Sus scrofa: one gene and its partners. The protein of the gene in region 1 interacts with the protein of each later gene in a biochemical or structural test. Links are inferred from orthologs where the notes say so. Each region holds a gene or a part of one and is shown on either strand. Other genes may lie near its edges.

Region 1 (6,231 bases):
GGTGAGAATCATTTGGGAGGAAAAATATGCATGAAGTCTCCTTATGGGCTTGGTAATTGAAAAAACAGTTAAGAAACACTGGTAGTAGGACATTAAATGTTCAGAGACCATTATAAATATGTATTCCGATGTCTCCTTTTCCTATCAGTTTTAGTTTATGTAAGTCTCTCAGGGCCTTATCTCCCCCGGAACTAACAAAAATAAGTCTCTGGACCTTCAAAGCAACGATCTAGATCTAGGCAGCCTTCCTTAAAGCCAGCCCCCCACGCCGTCATGCAACTCCCCATCTGGACTGTAAAACCTGCCTAAGTTTTCTGTGAGGATAGAGTGGAAAATACATCAGTAATGGCATATATCCAGCAGAAGACAAGTACTTAAGAGATGTTCATTCCTCTCCACCCCATCTCTTCTCCTTCAACTCTCACACCTCAGTATTAACTCAAAAAAGCAAGCCTGACTTCTTTGCATCTATTCACTTTCTCCAATGTAGGCATAACCATGCCTAGAATGCAAAATTTTGGCAAAGTTTCTGTCTGCATCAAATAGCAACCAAATTTATATAAAGTAAGCAAACATTGTGGGCGCAATTTTTCCTTTAATAATCTCCAATAATGAAGTTGCATTATACGGTTTCCACAAAACACAGATCTTCTTCGTACTGGTTAAATACAATGCTAGAATATCCTCAAAGATTAATTCTGAAATTATGAAACATCAGGGGTGTGTGCTGTATTAAATATTAGTATCATTCCATATGGAAGTATAAATATACTTCAGCATCCAAGACCCTAAGAAAAAAGGGAAAGAAACTAAAACTTGGCAACACTGTTTTGAATCTGCTTTAATCTCATTCAGAAATTTTGGGTCTTTGGAACACTACTGCCCTATTTTGTTTTGTTTTGTTTTGTTTTTTCAAGTGAGCCTCTCAAAGCTTCATTCCAAAAGTTAAGTCATGGTTATACTACCTGATTCCTCTTTGCAAATAAAAGATTCTGGCAGCAGCTGCAGTCTTTTCACACTTCTAATCTCACTGTTGAGTTTTAGGGTAGCTGTAAATAAGCAAAAGAAAGATGGGAAAGTTTTGTCAGTTCATTAATTGCCTTCACTTTTTAGTATGGACCCGCATGTCCTTGCCCCGGTATACGAAGGACACATGACCCAAAAGCACTTCTCTATGCTTATTTCCTTCCCTCACGGCAAAGTGCAAACCTACGTCACATTAAGTAAAATCACTCAAAAACACCACTACGGTATCACCAAGTATCACCAACAGCACCTTATTAGTAACTGAACATATGCAGCAAGGGTAACAGGAGACAGTTAAACACAATTCAGTCATTATGTCTAACGCGGTCACTAAAAACTCCATCTATTTTTTATTTAACCCTTCCTTGGCAATGAGTCTTCCCCTGTTTATTAAAGGAATCCTGCTGGTTTTCACAGTAGCATCCCTCTCTAGACCCAGAGGACCAATATTCTTGATATCACCAGAGAGTTCATTTTTTAATCCTATATACAAAGGCGCACTTCGTATCATTCCAGGAAAGAGCCAGTGACGGGCTGGTGCACGTGTGCACCGAGCAGGATGTCTCAGGTGAAGCAAAGATTTCAGGACACACTGCTCCTTTTCAAAGAACCACGCCTGGAATGGTTCTGGAATGGCTGTCTGCCATGCAAGTCCACAAGGAGCTGAGTTGCCAAGAATTAGTGAAAGAACAAAAATCAGAAACCAAGACATTTAGCAGGTCTTCTCTATGTTAAGCATCTTAAAACTAGTAAATACAGGTTAATAGACATGTGTTGTTAAAATGTTTTTATGAAACACAGGCAGAAATCACATTCACTAACTGATAACTGCAACCCTGCAAGTGGTAAGTGATGAGCAGCATGATTAGATCCTGCTGAGCCTCTGGGGAAAAGACTGCCCAACTAAACGTCCCGTCTGCTAACGGTGACGAGTTGCTGAAGAGACTTCGAAGATCGTTGTGCCATCAAGATGTCATGTCCTAACAAATGTGGAATACCACCAAAGATGTTAGAGCTGAAAATCTGAGATTTTTCAGTAACATGTCAGAGCTCCTTCATGGCTCAGTGGGTTTAGGGATCCAGCGTTGTCACTGCTGTGGCTCTGGTTACAGCTATGGTGCAGGCTCCACCCCTGGCCGGGAAACTTTCACGTGCCACTGGGGCAGCCAAAAAAAAATTTTTTTTCAAAGAATCTAGTGATTAAAAAGAAATAGAAGAATTTATATAAAAGGGGACCTTAGAACTACATTTCAAAGATCAAATCAATGGAAGTCAGTGGCTTTCAAATAAACTTTGGCAGAAAAAAACATTTTTTAAACAAGATTTTACAAGGGACCTCACTAAACAAGACAGACAGACATGTTACTGCTCCAAGTTTAAGAAATGACAGGGGCTTGGCTAAGCCTCCTCCTTGCTTCCATCTCAGCAGAAGCTAGTACCTGCAGAACATGTTGAAAACCACTGAGCTGAGGCACAGCGAAGCAACTGTCCCTGCTGTACAAAAGATGAGAGGTAATGAAAAATAAAAATGCAGTCATTCCTATCATACCATACTCTCTAAAGGGTAAACCTCAAAAGTCAAAATACAACAAAAGAGTTGAGTCACTAAAATGGATCTCCAGGATGTGTGATTATGAAATTATTCTGCAGACCCTTGGGAGCTGGTATAGGTCTCTGGGAGGCATCTGAGCTAAAATGAAACACAAAAATGGAATGTATTGCTATCCAGCAAAATTTCCTAGTGTGAGAGAGAACCAGAAAAAGAAATTCTATTCAGAGTGACCTTGGTGGGTGGCGAGGGGAGGTCAGGGGATAAAACACACACATACTGAGGCCTCAAAACCCTCAGCGGTACTTCTATGCACTCAGAGATCCAAACTGGATAAAAAGTGACCCCGGCTCAGTCTCACCTCTCACTATCTCTCAGTTCAAGACCTTGCTTAGAAAAACAAAAATAAAAAAGCCATCCACAGGCATAAAGAAAAAGCATTCTTCAGAGAGTTCATAGGTACTAGACTCATCTCACTCCTGTTATCACAACTCCCTCCTGGAGCAAAAAATTGCAAAGTTAAGACAGCAAAAACGTATCGCTGCCCCAAGAGTGAGGACTGCTGGCATAACCATCAGCCCATATTCTTTAGCCTTTCAGGCCCATGTTATCAGTGGTCTCAGGATTAAGCAAAGCTGAGGAAGCCTCCTATCACGACAGCCAATTCCCAAAGTGGCTATAAAATGTTTGGAGAGAAACACGTGAGGATTCATAAACTAACGACCAGGACGAGGCATCCGATTACCGTTTATGACGATGAGGTTTCCCAAAGGCACACAGGTGAGAGCAGCAGAGCCGCCCTCACAGAGAGGATGCGTGTACTGCAGCTTATACACGCCCCCTGACCTCCAGTTCTCGGGCATGGACACGGCTCTGGCTTCAGTCCCCTGGGGAATGACATGAAAGGGAAACAAATAATGAAGAACATAGTACTGCTGAAAAGATTAAAAATCCAAGAGGCCCCTAACTCGTCGACAAACAAGCATTCCATACAGTCCCTTTAATCAAAAATCTATCAAACCTTAATACTTCTACTAATAATACCTTGAGAGAAAAAATATTACATTATCCACCATCAAAATTCTTGTTCAAATAGATAAAGTAACATCAGAGGAGTTCCCGTCGTGGCTCAGCGGTTAACAAACCCGACTGGTATCTATGAGGACTTGGGTTTGATCCCTGGCTTTGCTCGTGGGTTAAGGATCCAGTGTTGCCATGTGCTGTGGTGTAGGTCGCAGACGCAGCTTGTATCCAACGTTGCTGTGGCTGTGGTGTATGCCGGCAGCTGCAGCTCCAATTTGACCCCTAGCCTGGGAACCTCCATAAGCCTCAGGTGCAGCCCTAGAAAAAAATAACATAAAGCATAATATGACATAACATAAAATAACATCGAGATAGACTGATTCCTCCTGACAAAGTCTTGCTTGTCTGCCTAGCAAAGCCAGAGAGATCATCACTCAAGACCCCAGCACAAATACCATTCCCTTTGTGAAGCCTTTTTCAAAACAAAGCCTGGTTTCTATCATTCCCACTCTTTTTCACCCTCTAACATTCCAATCATACTTCTATTGTTAGATACTTCTACTGTTAGTTATAATACAATGTTGTTTGCTTTTTATTTGTTTCTGTCTCCCACTTGGGGATTCCTTGAGGACAAGCACTGTCCTGATATCTTTATGTTCTGCTTCCTGGCTCAGGGCACGGCATGGAGTGCATGTTCAATGGTCAGTGAGTTAGTCCATGTCCCTGCTACTGATCACCAAGCCCACAGGCCAGCAGCACAGCTATTAGGTGGAATGTGCTCACACGGTATCCCAGGCTCCACCCTCCTCTGTGAATCTCTGGCATCCTATATACGTAGATGTTTCTGCTACAATTTAGCCAATACAGTAAAATGGTTTGTATACTTGTCTTTCCTGCTCTTAGACTGTAAGCAACCTGACAGCAGAAACAAAGCACTGCACCTGACATTGGTAGATACTTACCAAATGCATAAGGAATGAATGAATGACTATAAGCAACTCCAGGAAAAGAAAAACATCCCTCTTCCTAACTGAATCCTGTTCCGTTACTGGCAATTCATAGAGCCACTAACGAAAAATAACCCAGTCAGCACCTATCTAGTCCTGCCCAATCCACATGCACTGACCATATTTTATCTACATATGATTACATATCATCTTTTGGGGTTTTTTAAATCATAATTGTCATCAATTCTATAATACTAATTAAAAGCTGACGAGGAAATGAAAGAGGAAAAAAGAAGGAAAAGAGGGAAGGGCGCATTTACTGACTGCCTACTGAATGCCCATCGTTTTGTGTGGCACTTTACATTAATACCCAGACACATTTAATAGAGAAATCTAGAACACCACCCCTTTGCTAATAGGAAACCTAAACCCTAACAGGATGCTTGTTTTCTGCTTATAGTCTTACCTGAGGCATGTAACCCGACTCCAACATGAGCAGATGTATCGACACTATCAGAGCATCGCTGGGGCTGGAACAGTCAGCTGACTGGTACAGGGTCTCTAATGAATGCGGCACTTGCCCTTCCACCGATTCGCTACAGAGCATTGGTTCTGAGGGATAGAAACCTGTGCCCTCTTCCATATCCACAACATCTTGATCCGGCTCGGCTTCAGAATTTTGACTAGGCCCTGACTGAAAAGGATAACAAAAACAATGAATTCATTAAATAGACTTTCATTTTTTTTCCACATATATATATATAGTCTTTTTTAGGGCCACACCCGCAGGCGGTATATGGAGGTTCCCAGGCTAGGGGTCGAATCAGAGCTAGACCTGCCGGCCTACCCACAGCCACAGAAGCACGGGATCTGAGCCACATCTGCGATCTACACCACAGCTCCTGGCAACGCCAGATCCTTAACCCACTGAGCAAGGCCAGGGATCGAACCCTCGTCCTCCTGGTTCCTAGTTGGATTCGTTAACTGCTGAGTCATGACGGGAACTCCAATATTTTGTATCCTAAGTAAAGTGAGATTAGTGTTCAGAGCCAAAGCATGGCAGTGGGTTCTGAAATGGTACACATTTCAAGCGAGCCCCCTAAACAAATGAGCCAGGAATCTGCTCCTCCGTCCTGAACTCATCTCCATTAATTCTGCCTGGTAACCAGAAAACCAGGCTAAAAACCTGGAAATCATCCTAGACTCCCTCCTCGATGACCTTGCTAAACCCCACCCGCCTCTGATCAGTCTTCAAAACTCCTCGGAATCTACCTCCTAAATATCCCTGCAATTTGCCCCTTCCTACTCCAGTGCATTTCAGACTTTCTCTCCTAGCCTCCAGCAGTAGCTTCTTAAGTATCCCTTAACTCCACTTTCTTGTCTTCCAATACATTTCCCCCACAGCTGCCAGGGGTTTTCAACCATTGAGAATCCAATTACATCCTATGGCTCAGCCTAAGCTTGCCAGTATTTCCCCAGTGCAGACAGCACTGCCTTGGGGCAATGTGACCCCGAGTGATCTTAGGAAAACAGAGGTCTATGATCAAACAAGTTTGGAAAATGCTACGTGTCACAGCCACCTAACCTCACCCTGTATATTCACAAAATACATGTTGGTATTATGAAGCTCTGAGAAGTCCAGTAAAAATAGAAAGTGTGCATAACATTTAACCAAGAAACACTATC
Region 2 (6,231 bases), on another chromosome or scaffold:
GAGTAGGCTGCCTACTCGGGGCTAACGCAACGCACTGGGAACGTCAGACAAAAAAAGGCAGGGAAGGGACGTCGCCAAATTATGGGTCAGAAAAGAGCAAGTGCTGAGTACACGGAGGAATCCTGGTGGGAGGGGCCCTGCTGATGGCACCTGACACTCGGCAGGACTCACCTCAGGAGCCATCAGGCAGCCGTTTCCGCCGCGGTCCACGTACCAGCTGGTGAAAGGCAGCTGCAGGCCCACGCGCTCATCGGCCAGGCAGCAGCCGAAGTCTGCGATCACCAACCAGGGGCAGCCGTCTGCGGAGGGAAAGTGTCTGCAGAGGTCAGCGGCCCAGCCTCCCCCCTCCCACTGCCCCCAGGCCCACCTGTGTCTCCACTAAAGCCACCCTGAGGGCGTGGGCCACAGGGCTCGCAGGGACTCCGTGCTGACGCAGGAGCGCAGGCCAGCAAGGCCTGGACATGGGCCAGCCACACCAGTACGGGTGTGCCTCCAGGAAATCAAAAATACCCAAGCAAAGAACTGGATAAGGAGTTCCCATTGTGGCGCAGCGGAAACGAATCTGACTAGGAACCATGAGGTAGTGGGTTTGATCCCTGGTCTGGCTCAGTGGGTTAAGGATCTAGTGTTGCCATGAGCTGTGGTGTAGGTCGCAGGCGTGGCTTGGATCTGGCGTTGCTGTGGCTAGTGGCAACAGTTCCAATTAGACCACTAGCCTGGGAACCTCCATATGCCACAGGTGCGGCCCTAAAAAGGACAAAAGCAAAAAAAAAAAAACCACTTGGATAAAATTTGTCTCCATCTAAGTAATCTAGTAATTGGAGTTCCCTCAAGACCAAAGGAGCAGCTCTTGATGTTCTCATCATGTGGTACTGGCTCAAATGACCTCCAAGGAGTCTTTGCTTTGACCTTGAAACCTCAAATTCAAACCTAATAGGTGCATTATAAATTAGTTATTTGGAAAGGGACTCATATGGACTTCCTTTTAAAAACCAGCTCCTCTAGAATTCAACTGAATATCTAATTATTTGAAAGCTTCAAGTTCAAAACTGACCAGCTGTCTTGACTCTTTCACAGGCTCCCCAAGCAAGTGACCCATCCAGCTTCACCTGAGTGCGTCCGGAGATGGGGAGCTCACTGCCACAGGCAGCTGGGCTCGTGTTCAAAGAGCCCTCACTGTTTGAGGATCCTTTCTTACGTTAAGCTAAAGTCTACCTCTCTTTCACTTTATTCAAGAAAACGTCTACCACTGAGGTGTTTGTTCTGAAGAGGGCCAGTGAAAAGACCTTGGGAACTATTAACCCCCCCCCCCCCCCGGTGAGTCCCCCAGAGAACACAGGGCTCCACCCTGAAGGAGGGCGTGCTTGTCTCTTGTGTCCAGAGCTAAGTGAAGACACAACAACTCAGAACGTAAAAAACCACAAAAGCCCCAAGGCTCCCAGATGTCCCCAGGCCTAAAGCCCGGTGCGCCCCAGACATCCTGGAGGTGCAGGGGGGCGCCCACCTGCATCCAGCTCCACAAGGATGTTGTCAGACTTCAGGTCTCTGTGAGCGACGCCCTGCTGGACCAGGTGATCCACCCCTTCCAGGAGCTGCAGCGTCATCACAGTGGCGAGGCGTGGGCTTGGGGTGTTCCCGCGAAGGTACTGGCGCAGCGTACAGGGGTAGCTGGAGGAAAGGGCGACAGGGCCTCTGGCTACCGCGCATCAGGGATTGAGCACCTTATTTCCTATTGGGATGAGACCCTCCTCTTGGTCCTGAAACTCTTGACTTCTTTTTTCCCCAAACACCCTTTCTGTTCCCGCCCTCCATCTTGGACTCAGGAAGAGCTGGGGCCTCACATGTGAGCCTGTCTCCTTAAAACACCCACATGGCAATGCCAGGGGCACAGAGGGAGGAAGAACAGCCTGTGTTAAAACACCAGGTGAGGCAGGCACCCAAAGCACTAGGCAAAAGTACGTTCTGACTGAAGATGCCTTTCTGTTACCGTGAAAAGTCCTTCTAAAGGGAAGTGCCCTCTAGGGCAGACACGCATCCTCAGCACAGCCCAATCCCCCAGAGGGCAAGCATCCTCTTCCCTGCGACCCCGGGCTCCACGTGCGCCAAGGTGGAGAGCAGCTCCTGTCATGCCAGGCCCTGCCACTTACTTCTTCATGACGAGGAAGAGTGTCCGCCCATGGCCCAGGCCTTCGGGGTGAAGACGTGGGGGCAGCACATCGGGGTAGTCAACCAGAGCCCCTGGCAACAGCGGCACAGACGAGGTGAAGGCACGGAAGACCCGGATGATGTTGGGGTGAGGGGCCAGCTGCTTGGGACCGCTCCTGGATTTTCTGTTACCCAGTGGGACAAACATGAGGCCGGCGGCAGATAAGACACTTGGAAATATAGTCAATCTAAGACCACGATGAAGACTGCCATTCAGTTAACCACCTAGTTATTTATATCAAACATGTGCCGGAAAGAAAATGACTCTGCACATCTGGTGACTCCATTAGTCCGCCCACCGCCCATCCACGCCAAGCACAGTGTGGGAGACCCTGGAGTCAGACCGCATCCCACGTCTGCCTCTCCAAACCCTTGGCCAAGTTGCTTAACTTGTCTGGGCTCAATCTCAAATGCCAAAAGGGGAATAAGGTAGCAACACACCTCATCGGGTTGTTCATACTTGTAAAGGACCTGGAAACTCCCTGATTCCAAGTTCTAACAGCACCTGGCACAAAGTATGGGCTCAACAAAGTTTTGCGTTGAACCGATACAGATGCCGTTCACAGTAGACATGGGACCTGCTGCCCTGCCCACCCCTCTGCCCCTCCAATCTGGGACCCCATGACCGCCTGCTGTGTCTCAGCCCTGCCCCCTTGCCCAGAGCTGCTTGGATTAAGGGTGGGTGCCTGACCCAAGGGCAACGAGCCTGCAGTCACGGTGGTTGGCAGGAAAAGGGGAGGGGTGCCGGTTAGAGTGCCTCCTTGGGGAGTGTGAATGAAGAAATGGGGCGGAAGCTGGGTAGTCCCCCAGTGGAACTGAAGATGAAAGGATGCCATGAGGCCCGAGGAAGCCAGGGGTGTAGCCGTGAGTAATAAGGACACTGGGTGGCAGAGAGAGGAGGATGGAGCAGAAGCCCAGAGACAGCACAACGACCCAGAGAGCTCAACACCCGCCCTGAGTTGCCTCAGTCCTGAGCTTTGCAGCCAGTCCACGCATGGCCTCCACCGCTCCTCTGGAGTCCCCGCAGATGGGCCCTGTTCTATGCGATCAAAGGGATCGAGGCATCTTTCCCAGCCCCAGGCCACTGGGGCCCATGGAGAATCAGAATCAAGGCATGCTGGACTTTGTTCCTGACTTTTTTTTTTTTTTTTTTTTGGTCTTTTTGCCTTTTCTAGGGCCGCTTCCTGCAGCATATGGAGGTTCCCAGGCTAGGGGTCGAATCGGAGCTGTAGCTGCCGGCCCACACCACAGCCACAGCAATGCCAGATCTGAGCTGCGTCTGCAACCTACACCACAGTCATGGCAACGCAGGATCGTTAACCCACTGAGCAAGGCCAGGGATCGAACCCGCAACCTCGTGGTTCCTAGTCGGATTCGTCAACCACCGTGCCACGACGGGAACTCCATGTTCCCGACTCCTTAGGCTTCTCTGCTACACAGAGGGCTCCTGAACTGGAGCCAGCCTATGCCACAGCAATGGAGGATCCCCAACCCATTGAGCGAGGTCAGGGATTGAACCCACAACCTCATGGTTCCTAGTCGGATTCGTTTCCGCTGCACCACAACGGGAACTCCCGTTTGTTTATTTATTTATTTATTTAAAGCTATACCGATGGCATGTGGAAGTTCCAGGGCCAGGGATCAAACCCGTGCCGAAGTTGATCCAGGCAACACTGGATCCTTAACCTGCTGTGCCACAAGGGAACTCCCCCCACCCTTTTAAATCTCCTGGCACGAGTTCCTGTCATGGCTCAGCAGTAACAAATCTGACTAGTATCCAGGAGGAGGCAGGTTCGATCCCTGGCTTTGCTCAGTGGGTTAAGGATCTGGCATTGCCGTGAGCTGTGGTGTAGGTAGCAGACACAGCCAGATCTGGCATAGCTGTGGCTGTGGTGTAGGCTAGTAGCTACAGCTTTGATTTGATCCCTAGCCTGGGAACCTCCATGTGCCCCAGGTACGGTCCTAAAAAGCAAAAAAATCTCCTGGCACCATCAGGTCACTGCAGCTATTAGTGAAGTGAGTGTTACCTCCAAGGGGAAGGGTTCAGCTTGCACAGAAAGGTGGTGCTCCACCTGGGCGTTACTTAGGGGTCAGAACTCAGATCAATTTCCCATTGTTCTGAACTGGGTGTTTTGAGGTGGCTTCCTCTCCCTGCTCCAGTGTCAGCCACCTGCATCTTCAGTTAGAAATCAGACCATCCACACTCTTTCCCAGTTATCCACCAACTGAAAATCCATCACTGACTACATCATTCAGTGAGCACGTCTGATCTACTGCGTGTCGTGTCGGACACTGCGCTGAGGGCACAGGTGAGGATTCTGCTCTATGTGGGGGCAGGTGGAGCTTACCTGTGAGGGACTGCTCCATACTCCCCGGCCAAGGCCACCCGACTGGCTGGGACGAGCTCCTGGCTCATTGTACTGAGGATGGCTTCGCTGGACGAGCCCGCCTGGAACACATCCATAGTGGATCCTGGGTTACACAGGCCCCAATAAGTCCAGGCCCTCCTTGTAGTGTGGACCAGGACAGTTATTGCCTAGAATCGGCTTTGACCTTCAAGCGAAGATAAGCTCTCTGAAGGGGCAAGCCAAGCCTAGTTTCTCCTGGGAGAGAGGGCAGAGGTGCACACTTCCCACACCTCAACCCTGCACAGCTCGGGTGCCCAGGGCAGGAAGAGATGTCAAGAAGGCTGGACATGGACCCTTCTTCCTGTCCCAGATGGCTCGGTCACCACCAGGCTTGAAACTGACCACTGAGCACTAACACCTGCCCTTGCAGACAGGCCGAGCCCGACGAGCCGACCCTGGATAAACTCTGAATCACAAACAGCACTCCCTACCATTAGAACAAACAAACAAAAAAACCCAGAAACCAGTGACAAGGGAAAGCACCTTATTCTCATTACGAAGCGTTCTTAGGACCTGGTGAAACCTGTTAACCCTTTAAGCATCAAAGCTTTCAGCTTTTTTTTCTTTTTGGTCTTTTTAGGGTTGCATTTGCAGCATATGGAGGTTCCCAAGCTAGGGGTCATATCAGAGCTGGAGCCTCTGGCCTATGCCACAGCAACAGCCACACCAGATCTGAGCCACATCTGCAACCTACACCACAGCTCGTGGTAACGCCAGATCCCTAATCCACTGAGCAAGGCCAGGGATTGAATCCGTGTCCTCATCGAACCCGATGTCCTAGTTGGGTCGTTAACCACTGAGCCACAATAGGAACTCCAAGACTTTTAGCTTTTGTGAATGTATTTGCTGTCATGCCCCAATCAGTGGAAGTTTTGATGCAAGACTGGATGTTTCCAAGCAAAGGATTTGGCTACTTGTCAGCTATTAAGCCAGCTTGGAAGTACAGTCTAATAAACTTCATTCCCCAAATGAAAACATGAACCCAAATTCTTCGGGGTCTGCCTGAGGTGCATGGCTGTGTCCCTCCCAGCCCTGGAAAGCAGCTCTGGGCAGCAGAAAGCACATCAGATCCTGATGAATTTCCTAACACCCCACCCCCCCACCCCACTTGTGATAATGGCAAGGTAAAGAAATTATTCTAAGTGGACAGTTATCTCTGCTCTTGAGTGGGAAAAATTCAATTTCCCAAAGTCTTGAGTTCTGCAAGAGTTGAGAGCAGGGAGGTGACGAGCCAGCCTTCGGTCTGGGAGGCGAGTTTAGAGGAAGGCATGTGGCCCCTCCTCCCAGGGCGGCAGGTGGAGGGAGAGGAGCCCTGAAATGAACCCTTCAGCACTTGGTCCTCAGCGTGGTTCACAACCCAGCAGCATAGGCATCACCTGGGAGCTTGTTAGGGAGGCAGAATCTCAGGCTCCACCCCCCACCAGCTGGTCAGAATCTGCCTCAAACCTGAGCCCCCAGCAAGTCGTGGACACATTACAATTTGAGACCTGCTGCCTCAGACTCTTGTGCAAGAGAGTGAGGTACCCGTACTGTGGGAGAGTCTGTGTTTCCTACTTACTTCTGGGGAAAAGTGCCATCGGGTCCCCCAAGATGGGCATTTAGAGAAATTCCGACTTTA
Region 3 (6,977 bases), on another chromosome or scaffold:
GAGGGGGGAATAGGGGGGTGGTTCTGGCTATTACTCTCTGTTTACAGGGGATTGTGGGTAGGGCCTTCTAGGCTGGCTTTGGGGGGAATAATCCTGTTTTTCTGAAGAAGGAAGGACTGGGTTCAGGGTGCTGCACATTTCTCATCTGCCTGCTATAGCATCTGTCCTCAGGCCAGCTTGGGACCCACGGTGGTCTCTGATCCTCGTGTCCCAAAAGATGCAGAAATAGCAGGGGCTGGAAGTGCCAGGGGGTCCACCATCGCTTCCCAGCCTCCTCCTCTGAGTTTTCCAGGCCTCACCCACTTCCCCATATGAGCCAGAGGGTCCTGGGCAGCAGGTGATGAAGGCATGCCCTGGAAACCCAAGTTTGGGAGCCCCTCCAGAGTTCTGTGCCCTCAGGCAAAGTGCTCTCCTTTTCTGAGCTGCAGTTTGCACAGCAATAAAGGCACCCTGGGACTTGGTGGGTGCTAGGTGCTTAGTCAGGGGAGGCCTGTCACCCTGCCTTGCTAAGGAAGCTTCAGTTGGTCTTGGGCTGTCACTTAGAAACCCAGCACTGGGCTTCGGAGACCCCAGGGCAGAGTCTGAGGCTTGAGTTCCAGGCTGGCAGAGGGACTTCCCTTGTGTCTCCAGCATAGGAGAGCAGTTCTCCACAGATGGGTTGAAGGACCTACAGCAGTGTATCCAGTGTGGCCCCTAGTATGCTGCCTGGCCTCTGAGAGCCTGAAGCACCACCAGATCCTGGGACTAGGGCTTAAATAGGCTGAAGCCAAGGCACAGCTTTCACCCATAGGGCCCTCCCCCATCTGCCCCGTGACCTTCCTGTCCGCCTTCCTGACCCCCCCGCCAGGACCGACACCTTTGGGTAGAGAGCCTCTCCGCCCAGCGCTGACTCATGTCCGCCCACGGCGGGCGCCTGCCCAGGGAGGTGTGGGGATGACTGCCCGGTGAACACGCGGCTATTTTAATCCCCCCACAAGCTGGAAGCTGAGGCCCAGGCCCCTGCTGGCATGTGCCCGCCCCTCCCCCAGGCCCACAGGACTGGAGCTACTCCCTGGCAGTGCCCATGCCCCCCAGCAGCAGGCAGGGACCGGGGACAGCTCTGGTGACCCCAAAAAAGCCCCAGGTTTGTGTGAGCTGTGGCCGGCCAGCGAGGTCCCTGGCCAGCCTGCTCTGGCCCTACTGAGCCCATGCTCTCTGCCTCCCACCAGGCGCGCCTCAAGTTCCCCATTGACTACCCTTACTCCCCACCAGCCTTTCGGTTCCTGACCAAGATGTGGCACCCCAACATCTATGAGGTGAGCTGGTCCCCTGTATTGGGGTGGGTGGGAGGGGGTGCTATGGGTGAGATCTGGAGCTGCAGGCACTGACCCCCTCCTGTACCATGCAGACTGGGGACGTGTGCATCTCCATTCTCCATCCTCCGGTTGACGACCCTCAGAGTGGGGAGCTGCCCTCGGAGCGGTGGAACCCCACCCAGAATGTCAGGTGAGGTCCTTGGGTGCTCAGAGGCTGGTGGTAGCAACGTGGGACCCCACCTTCTGCCTGACACCCCTGCCCCACCCACCTCAGGAATGGCTCTGGGAATTCCACGTCTTCATCTGCCTGCCCTGGGGTCTCCCCGTCTTCCTCCAGCCCATGATCACAGCCCCTCGTCCACAGACAGACTGCTCACCCCCAGAGGCCTGGGCACCCTGCCTCCTGCTGCATGTCTTTTCCGGCCCAGACCGCAGCAAAAGTGGGTGGCATAAGGGGACCCCCTCTCCAGGCAGGATGATGCCTTGGGGAGGGGGACAGGCCTACTTCAGTGCAAGGAAGGTGATTCTGGCATTGGCTTCCCTCAGATCTTGTCTGAGGAGCTTGGGAGGTGGGGGGTGGAGCATGGTTCAGGGTGTGAGGCTCCCAGGAGAACATGCCCCTGACAGGCTGGCTGGGCGGAGAACACCCCTCACACTGACTCCTGCTCCCCAGGACCATCCTCCTGAGCGTCATCTCCCTCCTCAACGAACCGAACACCTTTTCACCTGCCAACGTGGATGCCTCGGTGATGTACAGGAAGTGGAAAGAGAGCAAAGGCAGGGACCGGGAGTACACGGACATCATCCGGTGAGCCCTGCTCCCTCCACTCTCTGGAGAACCCTTGCTTCTCTTCCTCTTGCGCACCTTGAGGCGTTCCAGTTCTGGGAGTGTGTGGTCCACGTCGAGCATGGCTGTGCCATGTGCACCGCAGAGTGTGTGCATGTGTATACCTCACACGGGCACAGAGATAAATATCCTGTGACCACTGAATTTCAGCAGGGGGTCTTGCCATGTTCCTTTGCTTTGTGACAGAAAGGGCAGAGATCCTGCCAGTCTGCCTGTGTGTGTCTCCCTCCCCCCTCCACCTGCGTGTACCCCTCATGCTCGCCCCCAAGAGTAGGTCTGTGAGCCTGTGGCCTCTGCTGCTCTCCTCCAGGAGTGTGTTTTCCATGTGTGCTTTGTGTGATCTATTTTTTCACCTTATAGCTGTGAATGTCACTTCCACTTGCAAAAGGGAACAAAGCCATGTGATATCAGCATGTTTAGGAAATACTTTCTTTCATGAAAAACAGTTTTTTCTTGGTTATAGAAGCAGTGCGTTACTTAGGAACTTGCCAGGGTTAACTGTCCCTCATTTTCATTGTCTCCTGTCCCTGCTGTGACGAAGCAGGTAGCCATCCTCACAGAGGCATCTGTGCAAACATTCCCTGAACCATGGGTGCTTGGCTGGGTATGGGGCCCAGAGCACAAGAGGCCTGCCCCAGCGATGCCCCAAGGGACTTCCTATCTTCCCTGTTGTGTTGTGTCTTGTGAGCTGTGCTGACCATTTTCCTTTGTCGCTTGTCCTCCTGGAGCTTGTGACTTGGTTTTTGTGTTTTGGGGTTTTTTTGGGGGTTGGTTTTTTTTTTTTTTTTTGCTGTTTAGGGTCACACCTGTGGCACATGGAAATTCCCTGGTCGAATTGGAGATAGCTGCCAGCCTATGCCGCAGCTGCGGCAATGCCGGATCTGAGTCGAGTCTGCAGCCTACACTGCAGCTCACTGCAATGCGTGATCCTTTAACCCACTGAGTGAGGCCAGGGATCGAGCCTGTGTCCTCATGGATACTAGTCAGGCTCTCTCTCTCTCTTTTTTTTTTTTTTTTTAAGTCAGGCTCTTTACTGCTGAGCTGCAGCAGGAACTTCTGCTTGTGACTTGTTTTGTGACAAACTTAAACCCTTTGTTAAGCCTATTCCAATTAGGTTTTCAGTCTGTCCCTTAATCTGTAGAAAGCATTTACTTTGTAGAAGGTGAGTAAGTCAGACATGGGTCTACATGACGACCCACCTGCACCCATGCCCACATTTACCTGCTATGTGCACCTTCAGAGGGTGAGCCTGAGCCGTATGTGCAGGCCTGTGGACCCCTGTCTCTGGAGTTGGCTGTGCAACCACACGGGCAGAGCTCAGGCTCAGGGCTGTTGGCCTTCAGTGGTGCTGCTGCGTTGATGAAACTCTGGACAGGAAGCTGGTGCAGAGACATCCTGCTGGCTGGGAAGATGCTTAAGTTAAAACCCTGGTGGGATGTTCTGAGCACACTGTGGGTTTGCTGAGGGATCCGCCATGCCCTCTCCTGGGGCTGCTCCCCCCTTGCCCACCTGGGGACCTGGTCTTCCTAACAAGCCTATCATTGAGCAGCCCATGTCCTTTAGTTCAGGCCACCCTGGCTGTCCCACGTGCTGCCTGAGCAGGACTGCAACCCAAGCTCCTGCAGACAGGCATGGGCTTCACTAGGGATCAGTCTCTGGCTGTCCTGGGCGTCCCCGGTGTCCTGGTCTGTCCATTTCAGGCTTCCTCCCATGGGGCTGGCCTGTCTGCTGGTTCTCTGGTCGCAGCACCCTGGGGCCATGCGCCTGTAGTGTGGCTGCCCCACCCCCACCCCCAGGCTGCTGGCAGTTTTCCATGTGGAGCACATGAGGGGCCAAGGTGGGTGGTCCCCCCAAGCCACCGGGTGGTGGTGGTGGGGGGGGCACCTGTTTGGCCCCAGAGCTGTGCCCAGTCCCTGCAGGCCAGTCCCTGAGGCCGGACAGGACCAGCTGACTCCCCCGTCTCCCTCTAGGAAGCAGGTCCTGGGGACCAAGGTGGACGCAGAGCGGGACGGCGTGAAGGTGCCCACTACGCTGGCCGAGTACTGCGTGAAGACCAAGGCCCCGGTGCCCGACGAGGGCTCGGACCTCTTCTACGATGACTACTACGAGGACGGCGAGGCCGAGGCCGACAGCTGCTTTGGGGACGACGAGGATGACTCGGGCACCGAGGAGTCCTGACACTGCATCCCCACGAATAAACTTACAAATTTTACCTCAGCCGCCCGACTGTGTGGGCTCTCGGCGCCTCTTGCCGCTGTGACTACCTCCCGGCGGTGCGCGGCCCCCGGCCATCCCCAGGCCCCTCCCTGGTCCTCTGCTTCCATCTCGTCCACCCGCTGCTGGAGCTGGGCCTGTGGACCCCAGCTGCCTACCCATCCTGCTGGCTGGAGCCAGAGATTCGGGGTCCCAGCTCGAGTAGACGAGTAACTTGGGGTCACTCTTCGCTCTGCTTTGGTTTGTTTGGAATCTAAATAAAGCGACTTTATGAGAAGCCAGAGGACCTCGGGGTCCGGGCGCATGGCCTGTGCCCATGTGTGTGTGACCACGGCGGGCAGCACCCCTTTGAGCCTGGCGGGCAGGGAGGCCTGGAAGTTCCCTGAGGATTTCTGTTGGTTGCTGATCTGGGATCTGGGCAGGAGGGAGCTGGTTATGAAAGGAAGCCCCAGCTGCCTACAGGTGTGGTCTTAGAGCTGCAGGGGTCCTGGGGGTCCCACCAGTTGCCTGCAGCCTCCTCCCCCCGCATCCCCGGGGTTGGTGTCGCCTACTGAGCATCCCAGAGCTGCCAGTTTGCAATGAGAGACCCTGGAGTCCTCAGCAGCCAGACCCACCCCCCAGCTCTGCCTGTTTTGTAAATAAAAATTTTATTGGAACAAAGCCCCACCCACTTCTTCATCTCTATCTGGTTGCTTTTGAGCCACAGCCTCAGAACTGAGCAGTTGCAACAGAGTGTCTGGCCACTTGCAGAAGATGGTTGCCCTCTGTCCTGGAGTCACCCCACCCCACCTACCATCACCCTCACACCTCCAGTCCAGCCCCTCTGCTCTACTTGGACCCCTGCTCCCCATCCCCGCTTCCACTGCTGCGTCAGAGACCACCCCAGACTCAGCGTTCACCCCTCATTGTGCTTGATTTGTGCATGTTGGGGGCACAGGGACATAGGGCTGGCTTGTCTCTACTCTACCACCTAGGTGACCTGCCTGAGGATCCAGGATGAGGGCTTAGGAACAGCTCGTCCCCACCACCTTCAGGGTCACATGGCACCACTTTCATACGTGGGACAGGTGGAAGCAGGTGCCAGCCCCCAGCCCCTGGGGGAGGGAATACAGACCTGCCCTCCACAGGGCTATCCAAGGGTGGGAGCTGGGTGTAAAACCCCCCAGCTGGTGCACACACACCCCACTGGTATTTGAGGCCTTGGAGTCCCAACACTCCCAGCTCTGGGCCTCAGCCTTGGGTTGGGTTTCAGGTAAACGGCTTTTACTGCTAGGTTATCCCATGAAGTTTTCTGGACATAACTCTACTGCAAAATTACTTGTCTGTGTGAAACTCTAATGTAAGCAGGCACCCTCTATTATTGTTTCCTGTGTGATCACCCCTCCCCCAATACCAATGGAGCCTACTTCCTGGGGTCATGAATACCTGCACCCTCCCTGCCTAGCCCAGGGCAGACATCATCACAGTGCTCCCTGCCTCTGAGCCTGGCTTGGACCCTGGGATTTGCCAGGTAATAACACAGGAAAGTTCATACCACCTTTGTTCATAATAGCCAAAGACTAGAAGACCCCAGGTATCCGTGGACAGATGATGGACAAATTGGTCCATCCATACAAAGGAATATGATTCAGCCTTAAAAAGGAAGGACATCCTGACACCAGCTCCAATGTGGATGGACCTGAGGACATGATGCTCAATGAGAGAAGCCAGACATGGAAAGACAGAAGGACAAAGAGTGATTCAACTCCCAGGAGATCCCTGGAGGAGTCAGACCCACAGAGACAGGAAGTAGATGGTGGGTCAGGGGCTGGGGGAGGAGCTGGGGAGTCAGTGTTTAAAGGGGAGAGTTTCAGAGTTCCCATTGCGGCTCAGCAGGTTAAGAACCCAACTAGTATCCATGAGGATGTGGGTTCGATCCCTGGCCTTGCTCAGTGGGTTAAGGATCCGGTGTTGTGAGATGCAGTCGCAGACATGGCTCAGATCCCACATTGCTGTGGCTGTGGTATAGGCTGGCATCTGCAGCTCTGATTCGGCTCCTAGCCTGGGAACTTGCACATGCCACACGTGCAACACTAAAAAGAAAAAAAAAGTGGTTAGGATGGTAAATGTATGGTTGTGTGTTTTGCCACAAAAAGATAAAGGAGCAAGGAAATTATCCCATTGAACCCACAAAACACCACATATGAGATGAGGGGCTTGAACACGACGAAATACCAGATGATAATGAGAAATTCTTGTACATTTTTCAGGTGCAACAGTGGTGATGGGGTTTTGTCTTTGGAGAGCCCATGTGTCTCAAAAACACATTCTGGATGAAATGGAACCAGTGAGGGGTGTGAATGTCACCTCCCCCACAGGAAGGATGGTTTTGTTCAGCGGGGGCCCAGACAGCACCTCTTCAGACTCCCCTGCACCATGGAGGCTGCCAGCTCCTCACTGCAGCCACCACCGCTGCTGCTGCTGCTGCTGCTGGTCCTGCAGGCAGGTGAGCAGGGCTGGGAACCCAGGCCTGAGGCTTTGGGACCCAGAGTCCTTGGGTGGGAGGCAGAGCACTGGTTGTTGGAACAGAGATTGGAACAACTCCCTTGTCCTCAGAAGGGGACCCACTGAAGAGATGTCAG
Region 4 (5,476 bases), on another chromosome or scaffold:
TAGACTGATCCACTGTAAAAATGGTGTGTGTGTGTGTGTGTGTGTGTGTGTGTGTTAAAGCCATGGATTGATGCACTGGGGGACTGGAGGCAGGAATACAAATTCACAGGTTAACTCCCTGTTAAGGGGGGGGGTACAACGCCACGGAGTGACTCACAAGGAAGAGTAGGGATGGGAAAAACAAGGCCACAGACGGGGGCCGCTGAAACTTGAGGACCTGAGAAATACAAACACTCAGACGGACCTACTGTCAAAGAGTTAGACGCTGCCAGAGAACGGCACCCTCCAAGCCGGGGTTGGGGGGCAAGACCACGGACGAGTCTACTGTAAGGGGGGGTGGGGAGAAATACAAGCACTAAGACCGATCCATTTTAAAACAGGAAGGGGGGATTAGGCCACGGTCAGATCCACTACAAGGGGCGAAGGGACGGGACGATGCCACAGGCAGGTCCACCAGCCGTGGCGGTGGCAGTGAGGAGCCGAACACCAGAAGGCCATGGGCCAAGCCACATCCCCCGGCGCGGGGGCGGGAAGGATACGTGGGGTCAGGGACCGGGCCCTCAACCCTCCAGGCCCCGGGCTCACCTGTGCGTAGCGCTGCGGTGGTGTTGGCAGCTCCGGGGGGCGGGGGCTCCATGCGCGGCCCCACCGCCCCCCAGGCCCGGGATCCGAGGCGGCGGTGGCGGCGGCGGTGGCGGCGGCGGCGGCGGCGGCAGCGGCGGCGGCGGCAGCACCTAGAAGCCGCCCCTGCGTTTCCCCACCGCTCACGTGGGCCCGTAAAGGAGGAGCTGAGCTTTCAGCCGCTCGCTGATTGGTCAAAGCGCCACGGATCGACCGCGCGGCTTCCAGGGTTGGGGAGGCGGACCCTGCCCCATAGGGCCTTGCTGGGATTGGCCCTAGGGGAACTGACGGAACGCAGCCGGCCTCCTGGGTTCCGAGGGGGCGTGCTCGGCCCCGCCGACGCTCACCGCTGATTGGCTCAGGAGAGACTGCTAGGCCGTGGGCGATTGACAAGGTTCCGGGGGTGCCTGCCTCGCAGTGATTGGCCTATATGAGATTGATGGAAGACGGCCAGCCTCCGAGGATAGAAGTGGTTAGGCTCTGCTTCCTGCTGATTGGCGGGCGATGGACGCCTAGACAGCTGCCAAAACACCAATGGGCGGTGCCGAACTCCACGCAGCCCAGCGGAAGCAGGACTTGTATAGAAGTACACAGGCTAGCAGCCCCGCTGGGAGGAGGTCTGACCAGGGATCTGCGGAGGCGGGCAGGCTAACTCTGTGGCGATTGGCTAGAAAAGACGAATTTAGAACGAAGCAGAGGAAGGAGGGCAGGACAGCTGCCAGACGTGCGAAGGAGTGTTGAGTGGTGGAAACGAAATGCCTACAAGGGCAGGGTCGAGCTGCAGCCAGTAATAAAGGGGTGGAACCTGGCTCTGTATCGATTGGCGGAAGCTGGATTCAGCCTAGAATGAGGACCGGACCAGGGAGGGCGGGCGAGATCGGCCCTGCGCCCATTGCTGGAGCTGTAACTATTTAGAAGCTGGGACAAGGCCAAGGTTGGGCCTAGACGGGCGTGGGTGTAATTTAAGTTACCTGAGGAACGATTGGAGTGTGGGAGAAGGGTAAACTTTAGGGCCAGGAGTGAAAGGTTGATTGCCTTAGGGAACAAACCGCCACCCTGAATCGGCCCGTTCTCTATGGTTAATTCAAGCAGTAGTGCACAGGAAAGGAAATAGAAAGAAGGGTCAGGTGGGGGCCCAGGTTGCCAAGGCGATGGTAGAGAGGGCAGAGCGGAAAGTCAGGTGGCACATTCTGCCAGGAAACAGGCTGGAGGCGGCACTTCAGTGGTGCTTTAAAGATTCTACACAGACTGGATCTCTGCGCCTCCCAGTAACATTGTGCTTTAGAAACGGCACTTTAGCCAACAGCAGAAGTTAATGGGGGAAAGAAGGGCCACGTGACTCAAAGACATTCAGGCTCTTTAATGTCAAGGGAGGTAGGAAGAAGTCAGTGGCGAGGCTCGGGGAAATTCTGCAGACCTTGTAGTTCTCTAAGCCCCTGAAAAAGAGAACAGAAGAGATTGAACGGAGACTGGGTCCAGGCCCCACCTCAGGCTTGCTTGGAACTCCCTTCCCTCAGAGCCAGCCTGGTTCCTGTCTGACTCATTTGGAGGGAAAGATGGCCCTTCCCATCTCTGGCTCTCTCCCTTCCTCAGGACACCACCCTAAATATTTGGAGATAGAGTCTGGGAGTGGGGTGAGCTGCTCTCACCTCTAGCAACATGTGGATATGGGCCTTGATATTCATGGAGTCCTTGGTGAGGCTGTCGCTGAGCCTGGAGAAAAGAAACGAGAAAGGGCGAGGTGGGCCCCACTTAGGATCCGTGAGGATGATGTGCCCTCACCGCTTCAAGAACCGCCTAAGTCCTGGATGACTTCCACACGGCAGGTGGTGGGACCCCTACTACCTGGCCTGCTCCTAGGCAGACATGCCTGGCCGCCATCTGCACTACACTGATTCCAAGACCTTTACTGAATGCCTACTCTATGCCAGGTTGTTTTAGGTACTGGGGAGATAGCAGCAGACATAGCAAACGAAAATCTCGGCCTCTTGGAGCTCAGATTCTCATTAAGGGGGACAGATGATGGAGTAAAATATGGAGTATGTCAGATGGTTAAAATTATAATGAAAAAAAAATTAAATGAGAGAGGATATGGGAGTACAGGAGTGGGGGCTGGAATTCGAATTAGGGTGCTTAGGGATGGCCTCACTGAGAAGCGTTTGAGTAGAGACTTAAAACAAAGAAGCGAGTCATGTGGACATATGGAGGATGTGTGTTCCAGGCACAAGGGGTGGAGAGTGCAAAGGCTCTGAGGTGGGCGCGTACCTGGCATGTCTGAGGCCCAGCGAAGAGGCCAGTGTGGCTGGAGAAGAAAAAGTGAAGTGGGGAGGTAGAGGAGGCGAGGTCACGGAGGTAAGTGGGGGAGATAGTTCGTGTAAAATCTACCAGGCCATGGTGAGGACTCTGGCTTTGACTCTAAGTGGGATGGGAGCAAGGGGAGTATTGTGATCAGAGAAGGGAGGTCAAATGACTAGGGTTTCAGAGGATCCATCTGGCTGCTGTGTGGAGAACCGACTGGGGATAAGGACAGCTGGTGTGGAAGAGGAAGGCCACTGCAGAGGCTGTCGGAATCGTCCAGGTGAGAGATGCAGACTCGGACCGCAGTGGCAGCGGTTGAGGGGATGAGAAATGATTGGAGCTGGGATACTTCTTTGAAGGTAGAGTCAATAGGATTTACCAAAGGAGGATGTTGGATGCAAGAGAGAGAGGACTCAAGGAAGACACCAAGGCTTAAAGCAACTGGAAAGCGGGACCACTCTGGCTCTGGGCTGTTGAGCTACGCCAACCAGCCCATTCCTACCTCCTGACATCTAAGCCAACTGCGACCAGGCTCACCCAAAAGAAGCCTAAGTGATGCAAAGGATAAAAGAAGGCCTTTCTGAAGAATGAGTAAGAGTTAAACAGGACAGTCTTTCACAAGAAGTCCGAGAGGCCGGAAAGAGCTTCTAGAGGAGCAATCAGGAGGCCAGTGTTAGAAAGTAAGTGAATGGTGGAAGGAAAGTGGCACAAGATCCAAGAGGTAGGCAAGGGCTAGATCATGCACGGTCTTGATATCCTGATAAGGAAGGTGGATTCTATTGTGCCGAGTTATCCTGTCAACGTAAGAGTCAGTTTTGGGGAAACTAAATACTGTTAAGAAAAGTAGAAGGCAACGACATAGGATGTTAAATTGGAAAAAAAAAAAAGAGTGTAAACTCATTTATGTATCACTATCTCCCCCCAGTTTTTCTATTTTGGCTCCCCCGCAGCATATGGAGTTCTGGGTTAGGCATCAGATCCAAGCCACAGCTGCTATCTATGCTGCAGCTGCAGCAACACTGGATCCTTTAACCCGCTGTGCCGGGCTGGGTATCGAACCTGCAGCCTGGTGCTGCAGAGATGTGGCCGATCCTGCTGCACCACAGCAGGAACTCCACTATCTCCCAAATTTGTATTTTCTTCTTTGGCTGGGGTGGGGGCATGCAGAGGTTCCCCGGCCAGGGATAGAACCTGTGCCACAGTGGCAACCCGAGCCACAGTGGTGACAACACCAGGTCCTTAAATACCAGGCCGCCAGGGAACTCCCCAAATTTATATTTTCAGTCCAGCCCTCTCCCCCGAACTCCAGCCTTGGGAGTTTTAATTACATCTTCAGAAAATCTACTTCATTGTTTAATAAGCATCTTACACTTACTAGGTCCTAGACTGAACTCCTGATCTTGCCCTCCAATTCCGCTCTTTCACTGTCTTCTCCATCTCAGAAAACGGCAATTCCATTCTCCTAGCTGCTCAGCTCCAAACCTAGACTCCGCTTTTTTTTTTCCTCACATCCCATATCCAATCAGGCATTCTGTTTAAAACTGCAACTGGGAGTTCCCTTTGTGGCTCAGCAGTTGACGAACCCAACTAGGATCCATGGGGATGCAGGTTCAATCCCTGGCCTCGCTCAGTGGGTTAAGGATCCGGCATTGCTGTGAGCTGTGGTGTAGGTTGCAGACTTGGCTCGGATCTGGCGTGGCTGTCGCTGTGGCATAGGCCGGCAGCTATAGTTTTGATTTGACCCCAGCCTTGGAACTTCCATATACCTCGGGTGTGGCCCTAAAAAAAAAAAAAAGGCAAAAAAACCCACAAAAAACTGCACTGTCCCATCAGGCAATGTGTCCAATCTCCAATCTGTGCTGTTCTCTGCAGCACCATCAACCTGTGACATACTACTGCCTTTACTGATTTGTTTATGGTCTGTCTCCCCTGACTAGAATGTAAGCTGTGTAAGGGGAGAGATTTGGTGTGCTTTGTTCCTAGCATGTATCCTCAGGAACCAGAACAATATGTGGCATATAGTAGGGACCCAATGTATGTTGAATGAATAAGTGAATGACCACTTCACTCACAGGAACCTGAAGTCCTCAGAAGAAAATAAATGGAGCAGGCTGTTGTTGCCAGACAGCAAGGATGCTTTCTTTTTTTTTCTTTTCTTTTTTTTTTTTTTTTTTTTGGCCTTTTTAGGGCCACACATGTGGCATATGGAGGTTCCCGGGCTAGGGGTTGAATCGGAGTTGTAGCTGCCAGCCTACACCACAACCATAGCAATGCCAGATCTGAGCCGCATCTGTGACCTACACCACAGCTTACGGCAACACCAGATCCTTAACCCACTGAGCGAGGCCAGGGATCGAACCTGCAACCTCATGGGTAATAGTCAGATTCGTTTCCACTGAGCCACGAAGCAAACCCCGAGGATGCTTTCAAAAATATCTGGATAATGCTCCAAGAACAGAGGAATGAATGTGATCAGCTTTTAAGGGATCATTTGAACATTAAAAGAGAACAAAATTAAGTTATTGGTACAAGCTCAGTCTATGAAAGGCTACGGGTT

Evidence for each region. The genes of interacting proteins can lie anywhere in the genome.
Region 2: the proteins of FBXO7 (region 1) and PINK1 form a complex in vitro, tested with the Homo sapiens proteins (2 studies listed by BioGRID, with this or other methods). The link is inferred for Sus scrofa from reciprocal best matches to the Homo sapiens genes FBXO7 and PINK1.
Region 3: the proteins of FBXO7 (region 1) and CDC34 form a complex in vitro, tested with the Homo sapiens proteins (2 studies listed by BioGRID, with this or other methods). The link is inferred for Sus scrofa from reciprocal best matches to the Homo sapiens genes FBXO7 and CDC34.
Region 4: of the proteins of FBXO7 (region 1) and UXT, one has a biochemical effect on the other in vitro, tested with the Homo sapiens proteins (2 studies listed by BioGRID). The link is inferred for Sus scrofa from reciprocal best matches to the Homo sapiens genes FBXO7 and UXT.

The regions. Positions count from the first base shown.
Region 1 is NC_010447.5:12,510,640-12,516,870, forward strand, and holds part of FBXO7 (F-box only protein 7), read right to left. Parts: intron 5,240-6,231; coding exon 5,012-5,239; intron 3,463-5,011; coding exon 3,321-3,462; intron 1,050-3,320; coding exon 966-1,049; intron 1-965. UniProt on the Homo sapiens protein: Substrate recognition component of a SCF (SKP1-CUL1-F-box protein) E3 ubiquitin-protein ligase complex which mediates the ubiquitination and subsequent proteasomal degradation of target proteins and plays a role in several biological processes such as cell cycle, cell proliferation, or maintenance of chromosome stability.
Region 2 is NC_010448.4:78,875,425-78,881,655, reverse strand, and holds part of PINK1 (serine/threonine-protein kinase PINK1, mitochondrial), read right to left. Parts: intron 4,655-6,231; coding exon 4,554-4,654; intron 2,331-4,553; coding exon 2,148-2,330; intron 1,669-2,147; coding exon 1,505-1,668; intron 300-1,504; coding exon 172-299; intron 1-171. UniProt on the Homo sapiens protein: Serine/threonine-protein kinase which acts as a sensor of mitochondrial damage and protects against mitochondrial dysfunction during cellular stress.
Region 3 is NC_010444.4:77,759,626-77,766,602, reverse strand, and holds the end of CDC34 (ubiquitin-conjugating enzyme E2 R1), read left to right. Parts: intron 1-1,208; coding exon 1,209-1,295; intron 1,296-1,387; coding exon 1,388-1,485; intron 1,486-1,968; coding exon 1,969-2,103; intron 2,104-4,112; coding exon 4,113-4,320; 3' UTR 4,321-5,016; downstream 5,017-6,977. Other genes in the region: GZMM (granzyme M precursor), read left to right, coding at 6,772-6,841. UniProt on the Homo sapiens protein: E2 ubiquitin-conjugating enzyme that accepts ubiquitin from an E1 ubiquitin-activating protein, and catalyzes its covalent attachment to other proteins by an E3 ubiquitin-protein ligase complex. In vitro catalyzes 'Lys-48'-linked polyubiquitination.
Region 4 is NC_010461.5:42,174,181-42,179,656, forward strand, and holds the end of UXT (protein UXT), read right to left. Parts: intron 2,335-5,476; coding exon 2,271-2,334; intron 2,058-2,270; coding exon 2,007-2,057; 3' UTR 1,962-2,006; downstream 1-1,961. UniProt on the Homo sapiens protein: Involved in gene transcription regulation. Acts in concert with the corepressor URI1 to regulate androgen receptor AR-mediated transcription. Together with URI1, associates with chromatin to the NKX3-1 promoter region.